Drosophila melanogaster: one gene and its partners. The gene in region 3 interacts genetically with the main gene of each other region. Each region holds a gene or a part of one and is shown on either strand. Other genes may lie near its edges.

Evidence for each region.
Region 1: of rump (region 3) and lost, changing one enhances a phenotype caused by changing the other (phenotypic enhancement), as found in Drosophila melanogaster (one study listed by BioGRID).
Region 2: of rump (region 3) and nanos, changing one enhances a phenotype caused by changing the other (phenotypic enhancement), as found in Drosophila melanogaster (2 studies listed by BioGRID).

What each region holds. Positions count from the first base shown.
Region 1 is NT_033777.3:4,400,629-4,408,380, reverse strand, and holds lost (lost), read right to left. Parts: upstream 5,306-7,752; 5' UTR 5,180-5,305; coding exon 5,101-5,179; intron 3,913-5,100; coding exon 3,742-3,912; intron 3,681-3,741; coding exon 2,962-3,680; intron 2,902-2,961; coding exon 2,833-2,901; intron 2,781-2,832; coding exon 2,570-2,780; intron 2,515-2,569; coding exon 2,126-2,514; 3' UTR 1,199-2,125; downstream 1-1,198. Other genes in the region: CG32944 (uncharacterized protein), read left to right, coding at 141-322, 378-944; CG14647 (uncharacterized protein), read right to left, coding at 6,466-6,780, 6,896-7,027, 7,243-7,752.
Region 2 is NT_033777.3:19,154,760-19,161,400, reverse strand, and holds nanos (nanos), read right to left. Parts: upstream 4,164-6,641; 5' UTR 3,901-4,163; coding exon 3,429-3,900; intron 2,886-3,428; coding exon 2,416-2,885; intron 2,343-2,415; coding exon 2,079-2,342; 3' UTR 1,792-2,078; coding exon of another isoform or gene 1,696-1,791; 3' UTR 1,199-1,695; downstream 1-1,198. Other genes in the region: CG42359 (uncharacterized protein), read left to right, coding at 1-49; Nsun5 (Nop2/Sun-like domain containing protein 5), read left to right, coding at 177-674, 738-1,168; CG11779 (uncharacterized protein), read left to right, coding at 1,696-1,791, 4,855-4,935, 4,999-5,536, 5,604-6,268. UniProt on the Drosophila melanogaster protein: Maternal RNA-binding protein that is required for germ cells proliferation and self-renewal. Acts by forming a complex with pum and brat that regulates translation and mRNA stability.
Region 3 is NT_033777.3:9,504,728-9,512,725, reverse strand, and holds rump (rumpelstiltskin), read left to right. Parts: upstream 1-2,401; 5' UTR 2,402-2,563; intron 2,564-2,709; 5' UTR 2,710-2,715; coding exon 2,716-3,290; intron 3,291-4,296; coding exon 4,297-4,435; intron 4,436-5,339; coding exon 5,340-6,468; intron 6,469-6,526; coding exon 6,527-6,582; 3' UTR 6,583-6,873; downstream 6,874-7,998. Other genes in the region: Ras85D (Ras oncogene at 85D), read left to right, coding at 435-573, 730-986, 1,045-1,218; CG8149 (uncharacterized protein), read right to left, coding at 7,021-7,917, 7,972-7,998.

The DNA.
Region 1 (7,752 bases), 5.1 Mb from region 3:
AGAAATACTTTTCGAGTTGGTCTTTTTATCGTACTTCTTGCTCATTACCATCAATAAGACAACATCAGTGACCATCGCCTGGCCAAATTCCAAGGCTATCATCGCTTATAGAGTACTCTTTTGTCTCCATATAATTTCAGCTGGCTATAGCTATCCGGTGGACTGGTGGTCACTTGGAGTCGTCGCCTACGAAATGCGGGGAAACATCCGACCCTTCGTTGTGCACTCGAACACCCCACTAGCGGAGATCAAGAATATATTGAACACCCCCGTGCACTATCCGCGCTACTGGAGCAGCAACTTCGTCGATCTGCTGCAGAGGGTGGGTTGGATCGCACTGTTTTAACACACTAACACACACTTTATGACTATTGTAGTTACTTTCCACCTATCCGGGTGCTAGGATCAGTACAAGGCAGGAGCTGCATCAAACGCCCATGTTGCGCAACATTGACTTCCAGAGGGTGCTCGAGAAGAAGATCAAACCCATCTATAAACCTCCCGAAGACCACCTCAACTGTGATCCTTGCCTAGAACTGGAGGAAATGATTGTAGAATCGCGGCCCTTGCATAAAAAGAAGAAGCGCCTGGCCAAGCAGAGGTCAGCACAACGCGACAGCGATCCAGAGACTGCACTGGTCAAAGAGTTCATCGTTTACAACCGCTACAAGGAGTTGAAGCGCAAAGCCATGGAACAAAAGGAAAACGACTGGCAGCGCGAACTGGAACTGGCCATGGCCAACTCCATCGTGAACAGCTTGGCCCCCATCCAAGAGAAACCCGCCGCCTGCGTTGTGCACGACGGCGACTGTGCGACCGCATCATCCGCAGTCGCCCAGTTAAAGGGCGAGAGTATTGAGTTCATTGATCGCACTCCTTCACCGCAGATTAAAGAATCGGCTGGCAGCAGACTTGACATGCCGCAGAGTCCGTTTCAAAAATAAAACCTAGGACGCGGTTGATAAGCAACAGGTTTCAAACTGCACAAGAACCAGACCCACTTGCGCAACGATGACTTGTCAGCCATCCATCCATAAAGACCAGAACCTATTTTTCGAACTCCTGTAAACTTCATTTTGTGTACATGCGCATATTATATACAGAACTATGACATTTTATAACTTTTAAATAAAATAGGTCTAAGCTACCTTTGTACATATTAGATTTAAGTCTAAAAGCAAAATAAACGGGTAATTTTCGGTCAAGTTTATTTTTACGATTTTTTTAATTTTTATTTCAAGTTATATTTCATTCATGTTTCATATTTTTTTTTTGTAATGCCTTTTGTGTATAAAAAAAGGGTAAATAATTATGTTCTGCCTTGTATAATTATGTTCTGCATTGTATAATTCTTGCTTTCACACATTTCTTGTTCTTCTGTTAAAAATATTATTAAATTTATTGATGTTTGCGGTGAAAGTTGGAAAAGACTAACCAAATGCAACATGTAAATATTTTGTTAATTCATTTTTTCTTACTCGCGGTATTTCTCATTTATAGGGCATTCCTATTAGTATTACATTTTAGAACATTACTTCAACTTCAACGCACTCAACTTCAAGCCCTATTACTAGCAGCTCAACTGCTTAACAGAGATACAGCAAAACGATCTTATTGCTGAGGTGTGAAATCAAATTAACAAATATTCAGAAGTTCTAATTCAGAATTGTAACAAGTCACAAGAAGTTAGTAAAAGGATTATTTAGAAGAAATGGTGTTCCACTTTGCATTTGTGGAACGAGTATTTCTGCAATCGTTTTAATTTTCTTAGGCAAAAAACAAATGCAATTGTTTAGAAAAAGCGTCAATGATTTGTGTTCTCGTTAGAAAGAGTTGCGTTTGATTTTCTTGTTGGTTAGAATAATGACGGAGAAGAAGAAACTACAAGCTGCAAAACATGATATTCAGTGTATGCACAAGTGTAATTGCCAGCGTGTATTTAGTGAGTGTGTATTTTGAGTGTACTTTGTGTTTGTTCGGAGTTCGCTTTCTATTTGTTTTTTGTTTGGTATTTCCCGATTTTTTCTAAACAAAATGTTACTTTTTTTCGTTGAACTCCAAACATTGCGCTGTCGGCGGAAGTCCGCCGCGACCGTTCATTGGCTGCGCCAAGCGCAAAGTCATACTATACTGTGGTGGTGTCGACAGCTTCGATGCGTGCACCACCCACGTCGCCTCCTGCCACAGTTACGGCCTCCCCTCCGTTTTGCGCGTCTGCTTTTCCATCCTCGCCTGCACCGGCATTGGCACCAGTGGAGCTAGCACTTTTCTTCTCGCCAAATTGGATCAGTTCTACGTTGACGAGAATAGTCTTGGTCTGCACAGGCGTTGCAGTCTCAGCTGACTCTGCTTTCTCACCGCCCTCCCCTGCGGCGGCAGCTGGGGCTGTCTCGCCACCAGTGGTAATGGTGAGCGAGAGATCGTTGAGAGACTTCAACACCTTGTCCATGTCGTCCTGGGTACTGGGAACCCCCTTGCGGTTTCCAAAGTGCAGGAAACACTTTCCGAAGTGTCCTAAAGAGAAGGTATAGTTAGCGTAGAGCTTTTAAACCAAATATAAGTGACATACCCTTCCAAGAAATTGACATCGGAGTGCATTCGCGTTTGCGGAGCTCCGACTTTAAGTCCTTGACGCGAATATCACGAGACAGATTTGTCAACTTAATGCAAAAATCACTGTTCTTGTTCTTCTTTGAACGACGCTCATCAGTGCCAGCCTCTGGTAACTTACGATCATCAGTTTTAGCACCTGCTTCCACACCAGACTGATCGCCCTCAGACTAAAATTACGTTGATTAGGCTGGCTTCGGCTGTCATATTTAAGCTACTTACCTTAGTTGTACGTCTGCGGCGATTGACGAAACGACCTTTGCGCCGCGGAGTGCGTTTCTGAGCAGTCTCCTAAAAATGCAGAGTTAAAAGTTACTCAATAGTGCCGACAGTGTGGTGGATTCGACTTACGCCCTGCGGCTGTTCGTTGTCAGTCTGCGAAGTGGTGCGACCTGGGTTTCCTCGTTGGATGCGCCGGCGCACAGGCCCACGGCGGCGTCTGTTGTTTTGATGTTGCTCCACATCGGTGTCTTCCTCCTTGAGGGATATGGATTTTCCCGCCTTCTCCTCCCTTTCCTTAAGCTGCTGCAGCACGGGCAATATTTTTAGACGGCGCTCGGACAGCAGCTCCCAGTAAACGCCATTGGGGAAAGACAAGCGCTTTGGCACCCTGATTATTTCTGTGGGTGTTGCAATGATATCAACTGGCGTATCGTACTTCTGGAATAGATTCGGGGGCAGTGAGTCCACCACCTGCATGTCGTGCACGATTGTGACAATAATTGTCTTCGGTGTAATGGCTCCCAGTTCAATAAGGAGGCCGATGTCCAGATCAGCGAAACCATTTCCGCGTCCAATGCGGTAACCCTCGCGTGACACTACAACAGAGCCAATAACCACGATGTCCAGCTTCAGACCGCTGTCCAATCCAATTTCCGAGCGAAACTTTTGAATATCTTGAACGCGCAGAGCCTCCTTTTTCTGCTCCTCGGTGGCATCGGCCAGCACATCTACCTTTAGGCACAGTGCAGAAGATTCGCGGGTGCTGGGCAAGTATACGGACTTGTCGGCCAGCAATGCCAGTTCCTTAAACTCATGCAAGACGCGATCGATGTTCACCTTGATGTGCTCTGCAATACGGGAAAGAGTGATAATTGGTGCACTGAAAACGGGGCTGTGGTACTCCCTTACGTGCTTTCTTGAACTCCTCTTCATTGGCAAACAAGGCAGCAGCCTTATCGGCACCCACGAACGAAGGAATTCGGTTAAATATGTTGTTGAATCCAATGCCAACCTTGCCCTCTTGGATCTTTTTCCAGGTCTGCACGCGCAGCGAGCGCTTTGTGGGCTCTATGGGCTGAGCTGTAACGACATGTTTGTTACAATAATATGCTCCAATAACATAAACAGATGACTAAAAGAAACATATTTTAGTTTATTGCAGCGGTGAGCTCATTTGTATTTGTGTTAGTGATAGCTAGCCTTCATTAAATCAAGCCACATTCCATTCCAGAGCTGATCTGTAGGTATGATAACGTGCGGACCCAAGCGATTCCCCAACTTCTCGGACATGTTAGTTTTTGTTAGGGGAGGTTGACTGTAAAAGTGCGAATCAAATGTGCTGAATAGCAACACAGCCGCTGCCCTTATCGTCTGTAATGAACGCGTGTTATCACGCTAGTTGGCGCTGGACTAAAAGTGATACCGCGGCTGATATACCGGTTTCCACGCCCAGTAATCAGATGTGAAAGTGACCCAAACATACACCAGCAAACGCCGGCCCGTATCATTGAAAACAAAAATCTGCATGCAAAATCGGGACGGCAGGGTTGCCACCTGTGCTGGTTAAAGAACACACGTCAACATGCATGTGTGTGCGCTTGTTGAATTGAAACTGAAGTATGAATTGGCCGCTAAAACTATTTCGGCCGTCTTTCTTGGCGGGTTCAATGAGAAATACAAATTAAGAACCCATATCCCGATATTAACGCATGACCAATAAGTTGGCAACGCTTCGACACGCACACACTCGCACGCACACATTTCTGGGCGATGAGCGCATCGACTCGCGAATTTCTCAATTAATATGTATTCGTATGAGCAGTGCCGCGAGCGTGTAGTGGTGTCGGGCAGCGCGGGGCGCAAGCGAGCGGGTGAATTGACACTGCGAGCACAGAATCTCGAAATCGAAATCGGCCAAGAGCACCGAAAATGATTCATTTCACTTTTTGTAATTGTGGGAAGAATGCGCGCAAAGATGACGTAATTAGTGTCAACAACAAGCAACTTCGGCGTTTCGGCAACTCTTATTTACAGCTAGGGTCTCCTAGAAATAAATATGGCGGAATTCGACAATCTTCCGCTTCTACACTGGCACCTAGAAAATGGCTGAATCGGGCACCTGCCCCTCTGGAACATGGGTATTCACTTTGGATGCCCAGCGAGCAAGGCGCGGCGCGGCGCAAAACATTTATGGAATCACCAGCACTCGCGAGAATTACACGCAATTTTCGTCGGCGAGCGGGCGGGGTAGTAGGGCAGGCCACTTACTTGTCGAAGACACCTCCTGCGCGGTGTTTCCGCCGTTCTCCGCGGCGACAGCGGGGGCTGCGTTGCTTTGGTCCTCCATCGAATCGCTCGCCAATTGTGTTTTAGTTCTGCTCACAATTTTTTACCGGCTCAGGCTACGGCTACACAGTTCACAGTTCACAAGCAACGTCTACCGTTCTCCGCTGGCTTCCAACAAACCACGTTTGAAAATTGACGTTTCTCTGGTGACGTAAAAAAACATCGCCGATGCGATACATCGATACATTTCGTATAGAGTTGCTTGCGATGGTTCTAGCTAAAAATATAATAAAAGTTATACATCTGAGCTTATACACGCCACCGACAATATACATTAGATCTACATGCAAGTCCATCATCTTTTTTCGCTTCAATTGTTATATATTATTTTAATAAACATCGAGTACCACCCAGATAGTTCGGTAAAATTGTAAGCTGTGATCACTGCGAATAAGGTATTAAAAACTAAAAATAGATAAATTTTATATTATTTTCTTTATTTATGTTTCTTGTAGATAAAGGAATCGAAGGATAAACTATAATTAACACAGGCTCCTGCCCCGGCTTAGGATTTTCTAAATGTAACTCTTCTGCAAGGTCCCTAAGGAATGTTTTATATAAAAATATAAAAGAATCTTTAGTGATGCGACTAAGACTATGTAATAAACAAAAAAAACAAGATGGAATGCTATAGTCGAAATCCCCGACTATCAGATACCCGTTACTCAGCTAGTGTGAATGCGAACGCGAAATTTCATTAAAAAAAACAAGAGGGAACGCTATAGTCAAGTTCCCCGACTATCAGATACCCGTTACTCAGCCAGTGGGAATGCGTTTTTAGGGCGTTAGAATGGGTGTGGTAAAAAGTTTCTTGGCAAATCGATAGAAAATTTCAAGACTAATTAAATTATGAAACAATATCAACACATTTTTTAAAAGTGTGGGCGTCACAGTTTTGTGCGGTTTGTGGGCATTAGAATGGGCATGGCAGCATGGGTCAACAAACGTGAGCCGCGTCTCTAAAATCTGTATGCTTAATCCCAACCTCTAGATTTTATAGTTCCTGAGATCACGACGTTTATACGGACAGACGGATAGACTCGGCTATTGATCCGGATTATATATAATATATATCCCTTATATAGTCGGAAACGCTGCTATCTGCCTGTTACATACTTTTCTAGTACGAATCTAGTATACTTTTTTACTCTACGAGTAAGGAATAAGAATAATACACACGACTTTAGAAATTCAATCCTAATACTGTTTATTTTATAACCTACTATTAAACTTTTAAGTATGTACAGTCAATAACAGTAATATTAGTGATAGGTGCCAACCAAGATATCATCGTATGGCCTGTGACATGTGCAATGGGGTCACCATTAGGGTAAGCTCCGCGTCCTTTAAATTTGCCCCACGCAAATTTGCCTCCTGCAAGTCGCTGCCAGAAAGATTGCATTTTTCCAAGTCGGCACCTGCTAACACCGCAGCTCGCAAATTACAGTTCTTCATATTGGCGTTCTTCAAATTTGCCACACGTAAGTTAACACCGGCCATGTTGCTGCTTTCCAAACATGCTCCTTTGAGGTTAACACCCTCTAGATTAGTTCGAACTCCTGTTGGGTCTTCAAAATTACACCCACGCAAGTTTGCACCTTCCTGAAAGATTAGGCAGATTAGTTTTCTTAGCTAATTGGATGGCGTAAATCTGTTACAACTAGTTTCACAAATGATGTGATTATTTAATAGCGTTTTCTGTTAAACCTGTGCTTACCATATTGGCGCAAAGTCCCCGCACTGACACTAGTTGGGCACATTCCAAGTTTGCGTACTGAAGATCCGCCCGTTCAAGACAGCAGTAGTTAAGATTGGTGTGGGACAAATTGCAGTGAGACATGTTGGCATACTGTGAAGGAAAAGGGATAGTCTTTAGTATAATTATTGTCTTCAACTTGATAGATCTCCACCAATAATTTTCCATTTTTTTCCGGACGAAAATATCTCCTTTACTGCGTAGCAAACTACAATAATATTAAAATGCAGTCGTGTTACGGCGTTGGAAAGACTTAAAATGTTGTATTACACAATGTATGCATTGAAATGAAATTCGTTTGCGCACACCTTGAAGTTAATGTTGCGAAAATCTAGCTTTCGTAGATCGGCCCCAGACAGATTAACGCCTTGAAAGCGCAGCTCCGTTATCACGGAGGTCTGAATGATGGCCTTGATGACGTCGTTGCGCGTCAATGGTCTGTCCCCCAGCGGCGTCTCCTGCTGTCCCAGGCGTTCCTCCAAATGGGTGACAAGCGAAAAGATTCCGAAGAACCGCGCCTCCTCCAAAACACCCAACACACTGATGTTCGAATCGCATACGAATTGTCCGTGGCGGAGGTAGTTGATGATCGGCTCGAAATATCGAGGACTTCGATCAATCAGGTATGCTCCCTGCTCGTCACGCTCGCTGGGCTTCATGCTGCCATTTTGCAGGAACATCCTAGCAAGCATTGAATCCGGTTCTCTGCCCACCAGAGTGTCGATGGTAGTGGCGTAGATTTGTCCACCCACGTTCAGTTTGACCCAACGATTGGGAGCGAATCCGCTAGCGGCGACGAAATCGCCGGCTGCCGGTGC
Region 2 (6,641 bases), 9.7 Mb from region 3:
GGATGAGGACGACGAGCCGGAAGCTGCGGAGCCAAAGAAAGAACAGTAACTTAAGTGCTGCCAGCCAAGTCCAGATTATTTCGATCGTTTAAAGGACCAGTAACGACTCTTAACAACTCTTAATAAATCTTACTTTGGCTACAATTTTGAACTCGTCTTTTTGTTTGCCCACACAGAACCCAATCCTCGATATGTGCGCATCAACACAAATCTATACAGCTTGGCGGAGGCCTTGGACTACCTGCATAAAAGCGACTGGCGGCGCAAGGAGCTGCCTGCGGACGCCAGCTATGCGGATTTTCTGACTGCCATCAAATCGCTGGCGGAGAACGAGTTCATGACCGATCTGCACGTTGAGGGTGTGCTCATTTTTCCTGCCAAGTGGTCCAACTACTGGGTCCGCCATCCGTTGGTGCACAGCAAGAGGTTTATACTGCAGAACAAGGCCACCTGTTTGGCCGCCGAACTACTTGCTCCGCCGTCTGGGGCCACTGTGCTGGATATGTGCGCAGCTCCCGGTATGAAGACAGTGCACATATGCAATGTGATGCAGAACAAGGGATGCATCTACTCCGTGGAGCAGGACCACGTACGCTACAATACGCTGTGCGAAATAACAAAGGATGCTGGTTGCGATATTGTAAAACCCATTTTGGGAGACGCCTTGAACCTAAGTGAGTTTTATATTTATATATTTCACAATGAATATTTAAAAAAGTAACACGTTTGAATTTCAGCACCCGAACGCTTTCCGGACGTAGAGTACATCCTGGTGGACCCTAGTTGCTCTGGCAGCGGAATGCAAAACCGCATGACCGTGTGCGACGAGCCGAAGGAGGACAAGCGGCTGCAAAAGCTGCAGGGTTTGCAAATTAAGATCCTGTCGCACGCGATGGGCGCCTTTCCGAACGTCAAACGCATTGCCTACTGCACGTGTTCGCTGTGGAAGGAGGAAAACGAGCAGGTGGTGCAGCGTTGTCTTCAGCTAAATCCATCCTTCAAGCTGCTCAGCTGCAAGAAGGCCTTGCGCAACAAGTGGCACAATGTGGGCGACAAGGACTATCCCAATATTGGCAAGAACGTCCTGTATTGCCAGCCGGACAGTGATCTTACCGATGGCATCTTCCTGGCCCTTTTCGAGAAACGCCGCGAGGGCGAAAAGGATTAGTTGTTTCAAACGCAAGAAGGACATTTGTTTCCTTAAATTGTAACCATTTCTTTATTTGGCACTCGAGCCATTGAATTTTTCATTTTCAGAATATGTGTACACATTTTTTAAAAAAATAAAAAAATTATATAATGCTGGCGGTTGTTTCATGTGTGAAAAATTGATCAATGGTAAACAAAATTGAATAAATATATAACATATATATATATATATATATATATATATATATATATATATATAGATATGTGTGTTGAAATGAATACTTGCGATACATGTAATAAAAATACTCTTCGCTTATCTATCAAAAAGTGCGGAATGTCAAAATTTAAAATTTTACAATGAATGCGTAGCCGACGACGAAAGTGTTCCTTGCTATTTCCTTTAGCAAGATTTAAATTTAGATTAAATTCTAATGATACGATTGACAGTTCGAAATTCAAAGTGTTCCTTTTTCAAAATTTAGTAAAGATTGTAGATCAATTGTAGATATATCGAAATTTTTCGGCCGCAAGCGAACATTTTACGAAATGAAGGCGACCAGTTGCAGACCAATTCCATTCATCAACTTTCGGATTGTAAGATATTTCTATCGGCCACGACGATTGAACAAGTATTACGATATTGTAAGTCTTCTTTAACAAAATTAGTTTCCCTTTCACAGAAACAGACATAAATTCTTGAATTATTGACTTGGATTTGAGTGATCGTTCGTTGTCTATACTATAAGATCTATAGGCACGGGATAACGCTCTAAATCTCTTTAAAATCGAACGCGCCAGGCGCTATTTAAACGTTACTATCTATCTATCTGGTTAACCCAGCTTTGATCGGAATGCGTATATATATTTCATGTTATATAAACGCTGCAAAAGCTGCCAGAGCCTCTGCTCCAGAGCTGGATTCGCCCTCTCTAAACCTTCATCTGTTGCTTGTAGTAACTGCTCTTGGCTAGGCGGAACGATTCCGCCTTGATCGCATCCTCCATGGTGATGATCGGCTTCTTGGGGCAGTACTTAATCGTGTGCGCCGAGTCCCCAGATGCCCCGCAGATGGGGCACACGTAGGTGCGTAGTTTGGGGCACAGCACTCGGTTAAAGTTATCTCGCACTGAGTGGCTATTGATAACCGCCTCTGGTTCGTTGTTATTCTCACAAAAGACGCAGTGGCGGCTGATCTGTTGGAGAAACAAGATAACAAATATATTTTGCAAGTTTTAATTCTGCGAATCCTGGATCAGATCCACTCACCTCTTTGGCCTTGCTGTTGTAACGCTTGTACACCTTGTTGTTGTTGTTATTATTGTTACTGGAATTGGAAGCTCCGCGCAGCTGTTCGCCCTGCACGGGCAATCCCAGACCCATTCCCACGCCGAGATTGGTGGACACAGTGGCCGCTGTTTGGGCCTGCAAACCCATTGTATTGGGAGCGGCTGGTATATACGACATGTTTCGCCACACGTTGTTCAGATGCTCCCGGTAGTTGTTCAGCCAGTGGGTGGCGAGTGGAATGGGCATTAAGTTGCCGCCATTGGTCTGCAGCTGGGCAGGATTGCGGCCCAGTGGCAGGTGCAGCCCCTGCTGTTGCTGATGCTGCTGCTGCGGTGGCATTTGCACCTGTGGCGGAGCACTCCCGTAGGACATGCGACCGAGATCATCGCTGGCATAGCCATTGGTCGCGAACTCCTGCATCACATCCTGCATCGAGCCAGCCGCATTTTCTGGGAATAGCAAGCTTTTCATTACCTTGTCCTGAACGTATTTTTTTTATTATTCGCGTTTCAATTGCATTTCAGAAATGTAATAAGCAAATACGGATTAGTTTTTGCATACAAAAAAAAAACAAGAACAGACGAGAAAAAGCAAAGAACTTCTAGAAAATGTAAGACGCAAAATGGCTTTCCGAAGTTAAAACAAAAAGGAATAGCGAAAATGCTAAGGTCAATGGCCGAAAATTCAGGGGCGCTCGAAAAACCTCTTGAAGGGGATACAAGTGTTGGGCAAAGATATATTTTAAAGCACATACAAAATAGTAAAATAAAAAATATACTACACTAAATGGCGAAAATCCTCTGACCTCTGCAGCAATTATACATTTACACAATTTTACTTCTGTTTTGCTCTGTGCTTTCGTTGCCCCTTTAACTAAGCCCATGGCCATTGACTTTGGCATAACTGTACTTGTACAGATAGTCATCTCGCTCCCGCGCACTGTTTTTGGCTATTCTGTTTTAAACGACGCCATATTCGCCATTTCTTCTTACCTGCTGCGCCCGTCGTCACCTGCGCAAAGATTTTCAAGGATCGCGCAATCTCGTCCGTTTGCTGGTGACTCGCACTAGCCGCTGCCGCTGATGCAGCCAGCGCCAATTGGTGCTGCGCCATGGCCAGTTGCTGCTGCTGCTGGAGCAGCAAGTGGTAGTGGTACTGTCGCTGCATAAGGAGCGAATTGGCGGTGGCTGCGCTGTCGGCCAGAAAAGGGAAGTGCGTCGACTGCGCAGACGTCGACGGGTCAGGGGTCACCGGCGTAATGGGCGGACTCAAAGTGGCCGACGAGTTGGCCCCACTGGTATCCAAATACATGTCCTGCAGGCCCAGAATGTTGAGCCCTCCTCTGGCGTGAAAAGCAGAAAAGTTATCCTGCAATTGGAAAATCTTTCCAGACTGAGCCAACGAGGGGGGATTTGCAACACCTACTGCTGCTGCGCCACTGCCCTCCAAGTTGCTGCGGAACATGGCGAAAATCCGGGTCGAAAGTTACGGTTATCGCGCACTCTACTTTCCACAAATCCTCACCCAAAAACCAAGCACAGTTTATTCAACTGAAGTATTCGCGATACTTCTTTATCTAATAATAATGTACATGTAACTAAACTCGCTTTTGGGTTAAAATCGTGACGCAGAGGCAAAAAAAATCGTATGTCCCTTAGACAACTTGAAACAACTGCGAAGCGTACGGCAATTCCAGGAATTTTGTGGTAAAGCTACGCGCCAACTAACGGTTCTTGCTTAGAGGTGGAATAATGTAGTTTTCCAGCGATAATAAATATATCGATATTTTTAGTAAAATTGAAAAGGTAAACTTAATTTTAGAAAATAATTTATAAGAAATTTAATAGTATGCAAAATAATTTTTACTTGCTAAGAATATGTGCCACTAATTAAAAGCTGGACACCGCGCAATGGAAAATAGTACTACAACACAGCAACAAAGCCTGAGTTATCAACAAAAAAATACGAAAACATCTCCCAAAACTAAGCACCCACACGCGCCACTCGCCGTCACAACACAATCACTGCACACCACCATTCGAATTTCGCGCACTGTGACAACATCACATGATATCGGCGCGGCAACATCGGATTACCGACAAAACGAACTATCGCACGAGCCACCGCCGGCGAAGAGCGCTCGTTTTGCAACACCGGCGCGCGCTGAACGAAGAGAACAGCTGACTGCTTGATACGTGCGTGTTTCGCGGCAGGAATTACATAAAGTTTAGAGCCTCTGACGCCAGACCCCCCGAACATTCGCTCCGATCAAACTACCTGCGAACGGTCACCTAATCCCCACCATGGTAGGTTACCTCTGATCCCGGTCATCACTGGCGTTCGCTCACATCCGTCCTTACATGTGCATATTTCGAGGTTAAAACGGTCGAAGCTTTCAATGATTTTTTCTCCTTGCAGTACAGAATAGCTGCCCTTGTGCGGGATCGCGCCTGTCTCTTCACGTGCCAGCAGGCCTCGCAGAACCTGCAGCAGCAGCAGGTTAGAGTTTGGCTCATAAAACCCCATGGCGCAACCGGCCTAAGTCATGACTTTACTCCGCAGCCCCGCTTTTATAGTGCGCCAGGTCGCAGGGCCGGCTTCTTCTCGCAGTTCTTCGACAACATGAAGGCGGAGATGGATAAGAACAAGGAGATCAAGGACAATATCCGAAAGTTCCGTGAGGAGGCCCAGAAGCTGGAAGAATCGGATGCCCTGAAATCGGCGCGGCAAAAGTTTAACATTGTCGAATCGGAGGCGCAAAAGTCGTCTAGCATGCTAAAGGAGCAGCTGGGCGCCATCAAGGAGCGCGTAGGCGATGTTCTGGAGGACGCCAGCAAATCCCACCTGGCCAAAAAGGTTACCGAGGAGCTCTCGAAGAAGGCTAGGGGGGTCAGCGACACGATCTCCGACACCAGTGGCAAGCTGGGCCAGACCAGCGCATTCCAGGCTATCTCTAACACGACGACGACCATCAAGAAGGAGATGGACAGCGCGAGCATAGAGAATCGTGTCTATCGTGCTCCTGCCAAGTTGCGAAAGCGCGTCCAGCTCGTCATGAGCGATAGTGATCGCGTTGTGGAGCCCAACACGGAAGCCACTGGTGAGTCTCCATCTTTTTCCTTCAATAAGATCAAAGGTCATGGCCATAATGTAATGTTACTTTTCAGGTATGGAGCTGCACAAGGACTCCAAGTTCTACGAGTCGTGGGAGAACTTCAAGAACAACAATACCTACGTGAACAAGGTGCTTGACTGGAAGGTTAAATACGACGAGTCCGAGAACCCTGTTATTCGTGCCTCCCGCCTGCTGACCGATAAAGTGTCCGACGTCATGGGTGGACTCTTTTCAAAGACAGAGCTTTCGGAAACGATGACGGAGCTGGTGAAAATCGATCCGAGCTTTGATCAGAAGGATTTCCTCCGCGATTGCGAAACGGACATCATTCCAAATATTCTGGAATCGATTGTCCGTGGGGATCTGGAGATTCTGAAGGATTGGTGCTTTGAGAGCACTTTCAATATTATCGCAAATCCCATTAAGGAGGCTAAGAAGGCCGGCGTGTACCTGGACTCCAAGATCCTCGACATCGAGAACATTGAACTGGCAATGGGCAAGGTTATGGAGCAGGGCCCGGTACTGATTATCACGTTCCAAGCCCAGCAGATTATGTGCGTGCGGGACCAGAAGAGTCAGGTCGTCGAGGGAGATCCGGAGAAGGTGATGCGGGTTCACTACGTCTGGGTGCTGTGCCGCGACCGCAACGAACTCAACCCCAAGGCTGCCTGGCGGCTGATGGAGCTGTCCGCCAACAGCTCAGAGCAATTTGTTTAGCGCGCTGCCACGCCTTTCTTTTTTACCGAGCCGTTTAAGTTTCCCTCATTTTCTCATCCAAAAAACAAACGAAAAGATTACTGGACACTGAGCATTGACGACGAACTGACCACGAACTCGACCCGCAGGAATCTATTAAGTGTGTACAAAGGTTTCGCTTTCGATTGCTTTGAAAGTTTTGTCCGCCACTAGTCAACTGCGTCCGCCCGGCAGGGGCTGCTGGTCGGTCCCGTGAACGATTCCCCCACGAATTCCGGGCACAGCAGACTGCCGGCTCCGGCGCGGCTCATATCCCAAATGACGCCCCGGTTGGCCGTTCCTTGCGGCCACGCCCACCGCCGATCCACTTCCGGCTAGCACGGAAGGAGTGTTC
Region 3 (7,998 bases):
AATTAGCAAATTCACCTAGTTAACAACTCGGCTATGGGGGAGACTAACTAATTTGCATTGAGCGAATGGGTTTTAATTTTAGTTTGAGTCATTGATCTCTTTTTCCCATTTTTTTTTGTGTTGCCCGTCTGGCTGTGTGCATGCAGTGGTGCGTGTGTGTTTGTGCGAGTAAGCGCCTAGTCACAGTGACTCAGTGACGTGCATTAATTCCTGCCTAATTATGCGTTTAATTTATTTTAATCAATCTTAATTAATAATTTACTCCACTTGCAGCCCATACACGCACAGTCACCCACACAAACACACGCAACAAGCGTACGGAGAGAGAGACTGCATCTGCGGGCGCTTCACAAGAGAGTAAGCATCGATCGCGAGAAAGAGACTGTTACTGTGACATTTGACTACGGCAAATCGAAAACGGACGCCACAGCCAAATGACGGAATACAAACTGGTCGTCGTTGGAGCCGGAGGCGTGGGCAAGTCCGCGCTCACCATCCAGCTAATCCAGAACCATTTCGTGGACGAGTACGACCCCACAATCGAGGACTCTTACCGAAAGCAAGTGGTTATCGGTGAGTTATATGTACTTAGATCTGGCAAAGCTAGGGCTGCACAGGTCCAAATACTCTAGAGATTTCTGCACCCTTTCGCTGGTTTGGTTTCCCGTTTATACTAGAAGAGACCTTAAGAAGTTGCGATATTCAAATGCATTTTATATTCCCCTGCAGATGGAGAGACCTGCCTGCTGGACATCCTGGACACCGCCGGCCAAGAGGAGTACTCGGCCATGCGGGATCAGTATATGCGGACTGGCGAGGGATTCCTGCTGGTCTTTGCCGTCAACAGTGCGAAGTCCTTCGAGGATATCGGCACCTACCGTGAGCAGATCAAGCGCGTAAAGGATGCCGAAGAGGTGCCCATGGTGCTGGTGGGCAACAAATGTGATCTGGCCTCGTGGAACGTTAACAACGAGCAGGCAAGAGAGGTGAGTACCGGCCTTCAGAGTTCCGAGCGAACATTCCGTTAATTATGGTTGTTCTCAGGTGGCCAAACAGTACGGCATTCCATACATTGAGACATCCGCCAAGACGCGCATGGGCGTGGACGATGCATTTTACACACTGGTGCGCGAAATCCGCAAGGACAAGGACAACAAGGGGCGGAGGGGCCGCAAAATGAACAAGCCGAATCGTAGATTTAAATGTAAAATGCTCTAAACGGCCACGCATTGGTTATTATTCACTTTTTATTTCTTCAAATGTCGCCTGTTTGTCTGTATGTGCGTCGGCGAATCGCCGATCGTCCTGGGCTCGATGGTTTGTCCATTTTGGACACACAATGCGAAAAACACACACATGTGGGAGCGTGTTGGTCGGTGCAATTGTCAGATAAAAGAAGAGAAATTGTAATTAATTTAAGTAACTAGAGTTTTATGTACGTCGAAATGATTTTGTGAATGTGTGTGTTTTGTGTCGTTTGAAAGGCTGCGAGGCGCCCTTTTAAGAGTATTAACAATAACAAGCAAACAAAAACGAACGAAGCAAATCGAAAATGAAAATGAATATGTACCTCTACATAAAAACTATGAATACTGTTGTAACTGCCTTGGTTCAGCTGCTATATCCGTTTGTTTTCAACCAGCACTTAACTTGATTCTATGTTGTTTGTACTTCAACAGATACTCCGTGCTTAAAACCGAAACGCGATGTAAACAAATATTGTGTATTTTTACAGCCCTGTTATCTATTGGTTTCAACCCGACAGTCATACATAAATGTAATCTTTTTTCGCACACACGCACGAGCAGAATTCCATTAGTATTCATCATTAGAGAACAAACAAGCAAAAGCCGATAAGCTCACAGCAACTTTCGCACAAACGAGTAAATTCGCTAGCCCCAAACTAGATTTATGTTCGGTTAAACACATATCTGTGGTGCTACGATGATGAAATTATAATCCGTATGAGTTCTTGAGATTTGCCTTTCTTTCTACTTACCATACTGACAGATCAATCGGAGAGAAAACAAACAGCCAATTAAATTTACATTATATAGTTTGCTTTAAGCTTTTTATACATACATACATACATTTAATATTTAATTTTTTGTATTAATTTTTGCCATACAAAAAGAAACGAAATAAATCGATTGTGTGTACTATTTATGAAAAGTGGTTTTAGTTATTCCATAGTTTTGCTTTTGTGGATTCTATTTTTCCATCTAAAGTCTCCTGTCTTGTTGAGCCAAATATTCTATTATTTGAATTTTTGCGTTGCGCGCGTAAATTGCAGTATGCCTACATTTCGATAATTCGAAGAGCATTTTCGAATATCGGCGATGTCTAGTCGATAGAAATCTGAGACACGTCCAAATATCAAACCATCGATGAATGTGCTGTCATCGTATCACTGTCAACTCTAACATAGACTTTTGTACGGTTTTCTATTGATCTCGGAAACTGTAGTTTGTCACAAGCGTTTGTTCATTGTATAAAATTTACTACGCCGAAAGCAGCAAAATAGAAATATTACCAGTATTAAGAGCACAGCCAACATCAAAAGGTAAGCCATAACGCTAGCATAGAAAAGAACATTTGGCGAAAAAGTCGATTGACGCGGTCGCCATTTTGTTTTCGCGGACGCCGCTCCGGGTGTGTACTACTACGAATATTGCAAGAACTACAAAACGCATTGCGAATCCCTTGCAGACAACAATGAGCATGGACGCTAGTAACTCGGTGGAGAGCCGCGAGAAGGAGCGCGACCGTCGTGGACGCGGAGCACGTGGCTCCCGTTTCACGGACGCTGATGGCAATGGAAACGGCGCTGGTAGTCAGGGAGGTGGCGTCGCTGCTCGCGACCGTAGCCGGGAACGTCGCAATTGCCGGGTCTACATTTCGAACATTCCATACGACTACCGTTGGCAGGATCTGAAGGATCTGTTCCGCCGCATCGTCGGCTCCATTGAGTACGTCCAGCTGTTCTTCGATGAGAGCGGCAAGGCTCGCGGCTGTGGCATCGTAGAGTTCAAGGATCCGGAGAACGTACAGAAGGCCTTGGAGAAAATGAACCGCTATGAGGTGAATGGCCGCGAACTGGTGGTCAAGGAGGATCACGGCGAGCAGCGCGATCAATACGGACGCATTGTGCGAGATGGTGGTGGTGGTGGAGGCGGCGGTGGCGGCGTACAAGGAGGCAATGGTGGCAACAATGGAGGAGGTGGCGGCGGTGGCCGTGACCACATGGATGACCGCGATCGGGGTTTCTCCCGGCGAGACGACGACAGACTGTGAGTATTCCCTTTACGCTTATATCCTATACGTATGTGCACTTTTTTCCGATATTCTGGAGCAGGAAAGCTGAGTTCATGGCACGCATATACTATTCAATTTTTAGAAACTTGCCAGCTGGCAGTGGTTCCATTTTAAATGTATCAACGATTGCGGCTCTGCATTGATTTTTCATATATATGTATGTAGGTCAGGAATATTGCATTCTAAAGTTCCTATTATCACGTACGAACTGAATTTTTTATTTTAAGGAGTTTCCTTTGTCGTTTGTGCATCATTTAGGTGACAACCCGATTTACATTCAGCCCAGGGTGCGTACTGCGAGTTAATCGTGGTTCCTTAAGGGTTTCGTATTAAATTTAACCATATTTCTTTCGAAAATTTTACTGATCGCTGATATAATAAATATAAAATTTTATTCAGGGGAACATGCCGAAAATTATCATTAATATTAGCTACGAGTTCAGTCGTACTCTTCATATCAGTTAGTTGTAATGCAAATATATATATATATATATATAATATATGCAGTTTGTGTTCATCTGATTACAACGAAATCTCCGTTCTCTTAGTTCTCTAAATGGTTATCTAGTGATTTTTTTCATTATTAAAGTGCTCCGTTTCGATCTCAAGTCAATTATTTATGTTTAGTGTTGAGTTTGAAGGTTGATCACAGCAGGCGTTTGCTTTTTTGCTGCTGATAGAATTTTATTTGTTCAAATTGTCTAAACGCTCAAGGATTTATGGAAAGTCTGTCAAATACATCGGAGTAACAGTTTTGTGCTGTTTTTGAAAAAAAAAAAAAAAAAAAATCGGAATTCAAATTTAAAGATAGTTTAAGACAGGACCTGAAGAGAAAAAAAGGGTATAAAATGTTTAACATAAGGGAAAATGTGAACGCGTCGGAATATCCTGCGGCTCTCTTGGAAACCCACTTCTCCGTAGCTGAAGTTTACTTGTGCCTTTTGTTATCTTTCTCTGGAAATCTGGCTTCTCTTTTTCTAGATCTGGGCGTAATAATTTTAACATGATGTCAAATGATTATAATAATTCGTCGAATTACAATTTGTATGGGCTTTCTGCTTCGTTTTTGGAGAGTCTTGGCATAAGTGGACCTTTGCATAATAAGGTTTTTGTTGCTAATGTGAGTATATTGTAATATAAAATTCCAATAATCCTATGTATATTATTCAACTGGACCGGACCACACTACAAATATGCTGCGTTCTGTTCTTGCTTCGGGGTCTCTGCTTCGTATTTATAACCCGCCTAGGTCACATCATCCAGAAGATACTGTTTACTTGTTTAAATTCATCTCAGTCGACCCAAAGTAATGACAACTCCACGGTTTCCTTTCCCTTTTGACATATGTTCGTTCCTTTCCCGTTTTCGAAAATTCGGATGGAATCGTATACGTTGATGTGTTTGAAAGACTGGGTGGAACTACTTGGAAGTCCTGGGAAACACACTGAATACTCGATGTGACATACACATACCCTCTTCTACATCGCTACACAATGAATATATTTTAGTTGATAACATAACTGCAGAATGGACCCTAAGTATTATATTTTCTACTCAGAAAGCGGACTTAAGCGGCAACAACAAATTGGGCTACGTAAAATCTTGTTTTCGATATATCACATATTTTGTTTCGGTTAAGTTGTTTAATGATAATTGGTTAGTTTGTAGTTGCAATGACTCTTGGAAGGTCCTTGACTGTTTGTTGGTTGCAGCGTTTTTGCCTCTTTTACACTTTTCACATAAGATGTTCCGCGAAAACCACCTCGTTTTCAAGGGTTATAAATATGAAGCAGTTACGGGTGTTTTAAAATTCGACGTCGTCTCTGGGCTATTCCGTTTGGTTTCTGGGCACGTGTGCGGGACTGATTCTCCTGAGATTCTCGTCTATCGTCAGCATAGTTTTGCAGCATGGTTTTGTCAAAGACAGCAGTGGTATCAACATTGGGCAACTTTCGAACCTATTTCAGTGGACAAACCATGGGATTGACAAACTGCTAATTTCGCTTTCTTAAAACTCCCTGCAGCTGGACTACAAGGTCGACAACAAGAAGCTCAAGCAGGTCTTCAAGCTGGCCGGCAAGGTGCAGAGCGTAGACCTTTCACTGGACAAGGAGGGCAACAGCCGCGGTTTTGCTGTGATCGAGTACGACCATCCGGTGGAGGCTGTTCAGGCCATTTCCATGCTGGATCGTCAGATGCTATTCGACCGTCGTATGACCGTGCGCCTGGACCGAATTCCGGATAAGAATGAAGGCATAAAGCTGCCCGAGGGCTTGGGAGGTGTGGGCATCGGCCTGGGACCCAACGGCGAGCCACTCAGGGACGTGGCTCACAACCTTCCCAATGGTGGTCAGAGCCAGGGCCAGTTGCTTGGCAACGCTCAGCAGGGATCTCAGCTGGGATCGGTGGGTAGCCAACCAAACAGCAGCGCTGTTAGCAACGCCACGACAAACCTGCTTAACAACCTGACCGGCGTTATGTTTGGCAATCATGCGGCAGTGCAGCCATCGCCTGTAGCTCCGGTGCAAAAGCCTAGCCTAGGAAACAATACCGGTTCCGGCGGATTGAACCTAAACAATCTGAATCCCAGCATTTTGGCTGCCGTGGTCGGCAATCTTGGTAACCAGGGAGGGAATTTAAGCAATCCCTTGCTGTCCTCTTCGCTGAGCAACCTGGGTCTCAATCTGGGCAACTCCGGCAATGATGACAACCTGCCGCCAAGCAATGTGGGTCTTTCAAACAACTACAGCAGCGGCGGCACCGGTGGTGGCAATAGCTATAGCTCTGGAAACAACTACAGCGGCGGTGGCGGCTCCAGCAATTTGGGATACAATGCTTACAGCAGCTCTGGTGGAATGGGCGGCGGCAACGGAGGAGTTGGTGTTGATGGCAACGATTACAACACTGGCAATCCATTGGATGTCTATGGCGGCGGCAGCAACGTGGGCAATTCCAACGTTGGCTCGGCCAATGCTGTCGGTGCTTCTCGAAAGTCGGACACGATCATTATCAAGAACGTTCCAATAACCTGCACTTGGCAAACACTGCGCGACAAGTTCCGAGAGATCGGGGACGTTAAGTTTGCGGAAATCCGTGGCAATGATGTGGGCGTTGTGCGTTTCTTTAAGGAGCGCGATGCCGAGCTAGCCATTGGTAAGTAATACTCAAAAGGCGATTCCTTTATTTTTGCTGAACTCCAATGTCTTTTCAGCGCTTATGGATGGCTCCCGTCTGGATGGGCGCAACATTAAAGTAACATACTTTTAAGTCAGGCAATTCAGTTCAAAAGTTATTCTACGTTTCTTGTCGCCAATTCACACTTCAAACAGCGCGATGACCAATGAAATGAGCTGATATTCCTTATTTGACTCGCAATACGGAATTAATTTTGCACCCACTTATTTGAATAACTTTTATATATTTTAACGCATAATATTATACCAACTAATATGAATTTTGACGTTCCAAAAAAAAAAAAATGCCCCAATAAAACCGAAGACGCGACTCAAATTATTTTTAAGTCTTTGAATTAAACGAAATAAAGTAATGTAAACCCTGAATTTCAGTGGTCATGTTTTGTGTTTATTGAATTTTTGCTTAATTACTACAAGCATTGGTGGCTTTGGGGTTTGATACATGATAGGGCCTACTCCCGAAATGATTTACAATTGTATTTGCTTGCTTAAATAATTATATTCGCTTTTCTTAATTTGTGGACGGGGCTGTTTTGAATCTTTCCAAGCGAGCGCGCGCCTTCTCTGACCAGGCGTCCTTGGATTCAGTTGTGGTAGGCGTGGTGGTAGCTGCTGAGACTGCTCCTGCTCCAAATCGCTCCTTCCGTTTCTGGAGACGATCATCGGCCTTTGAGGTCGGTGCTTTGTCAGGCACCACGAATCCGAAACGCTCGGCACGTTTTTTGAGTGCCTCCTTTTGCTGCTCCTCGGTTTCCTTGTTACCTTTGTTGGCCGTAATGGAGGCACTAGAGGATTTATTGATGGCCACTGCCACTGCGGTTGCAGTGTTGGCCACAGCGGGGGGTGTTATGCCAAACTTTTTGGCCCGCAGTTCCAATCGCTCTTGTGCAGTCAGCTGGTTAAGTTTCTTGTCGCCTGATGGCTTCTCTCCTTCCGTCTTTGGTCCGACCACAATCGGCTTATGCTTCTTGGTAGGAGTTTCGCCGGTGGAGTCACTAGCAGCTGCAGCGGGCGCCTCGTTCTCCTTCGATGGAGTTGTCCCCGTGCTGGCTACCGTGCCCGTCGACTGCTGGGAATTATTTCGCTTCAGAACTATTTTCTTGGTCGGCGCAGCTGCATCTGGGGCCGAAGACGTCTTCTCTTCCGCTAGAAGGTCCGGAATGGCCACAGTTGTGGGTGTGCTAACCGGACTTTTCAGTAGCTCATCGTCGTTCTCATCGCCCAGCAGCTTGTGCTCATCCTCGTCGGTGAAAGACACATCGTCGTCGTCAATGGCATCTGCTATGGCCGAATCCTCCAGAGAAAGGTCCCCCTCTAATAACGCGGTCTGCAATCGGTCCTGCAGTTCGGTTTTATTTCCATTCACGGCGAGCCCTCGAAGCTTCAGCTCGCGCTTCAAATCCGCCACCTGGAAAGGAACACATAATTGGGATCATCTCCTAATATTAATCTTTTAACTTACCTTCATTTTAGTCACGTCGCTTTCAGG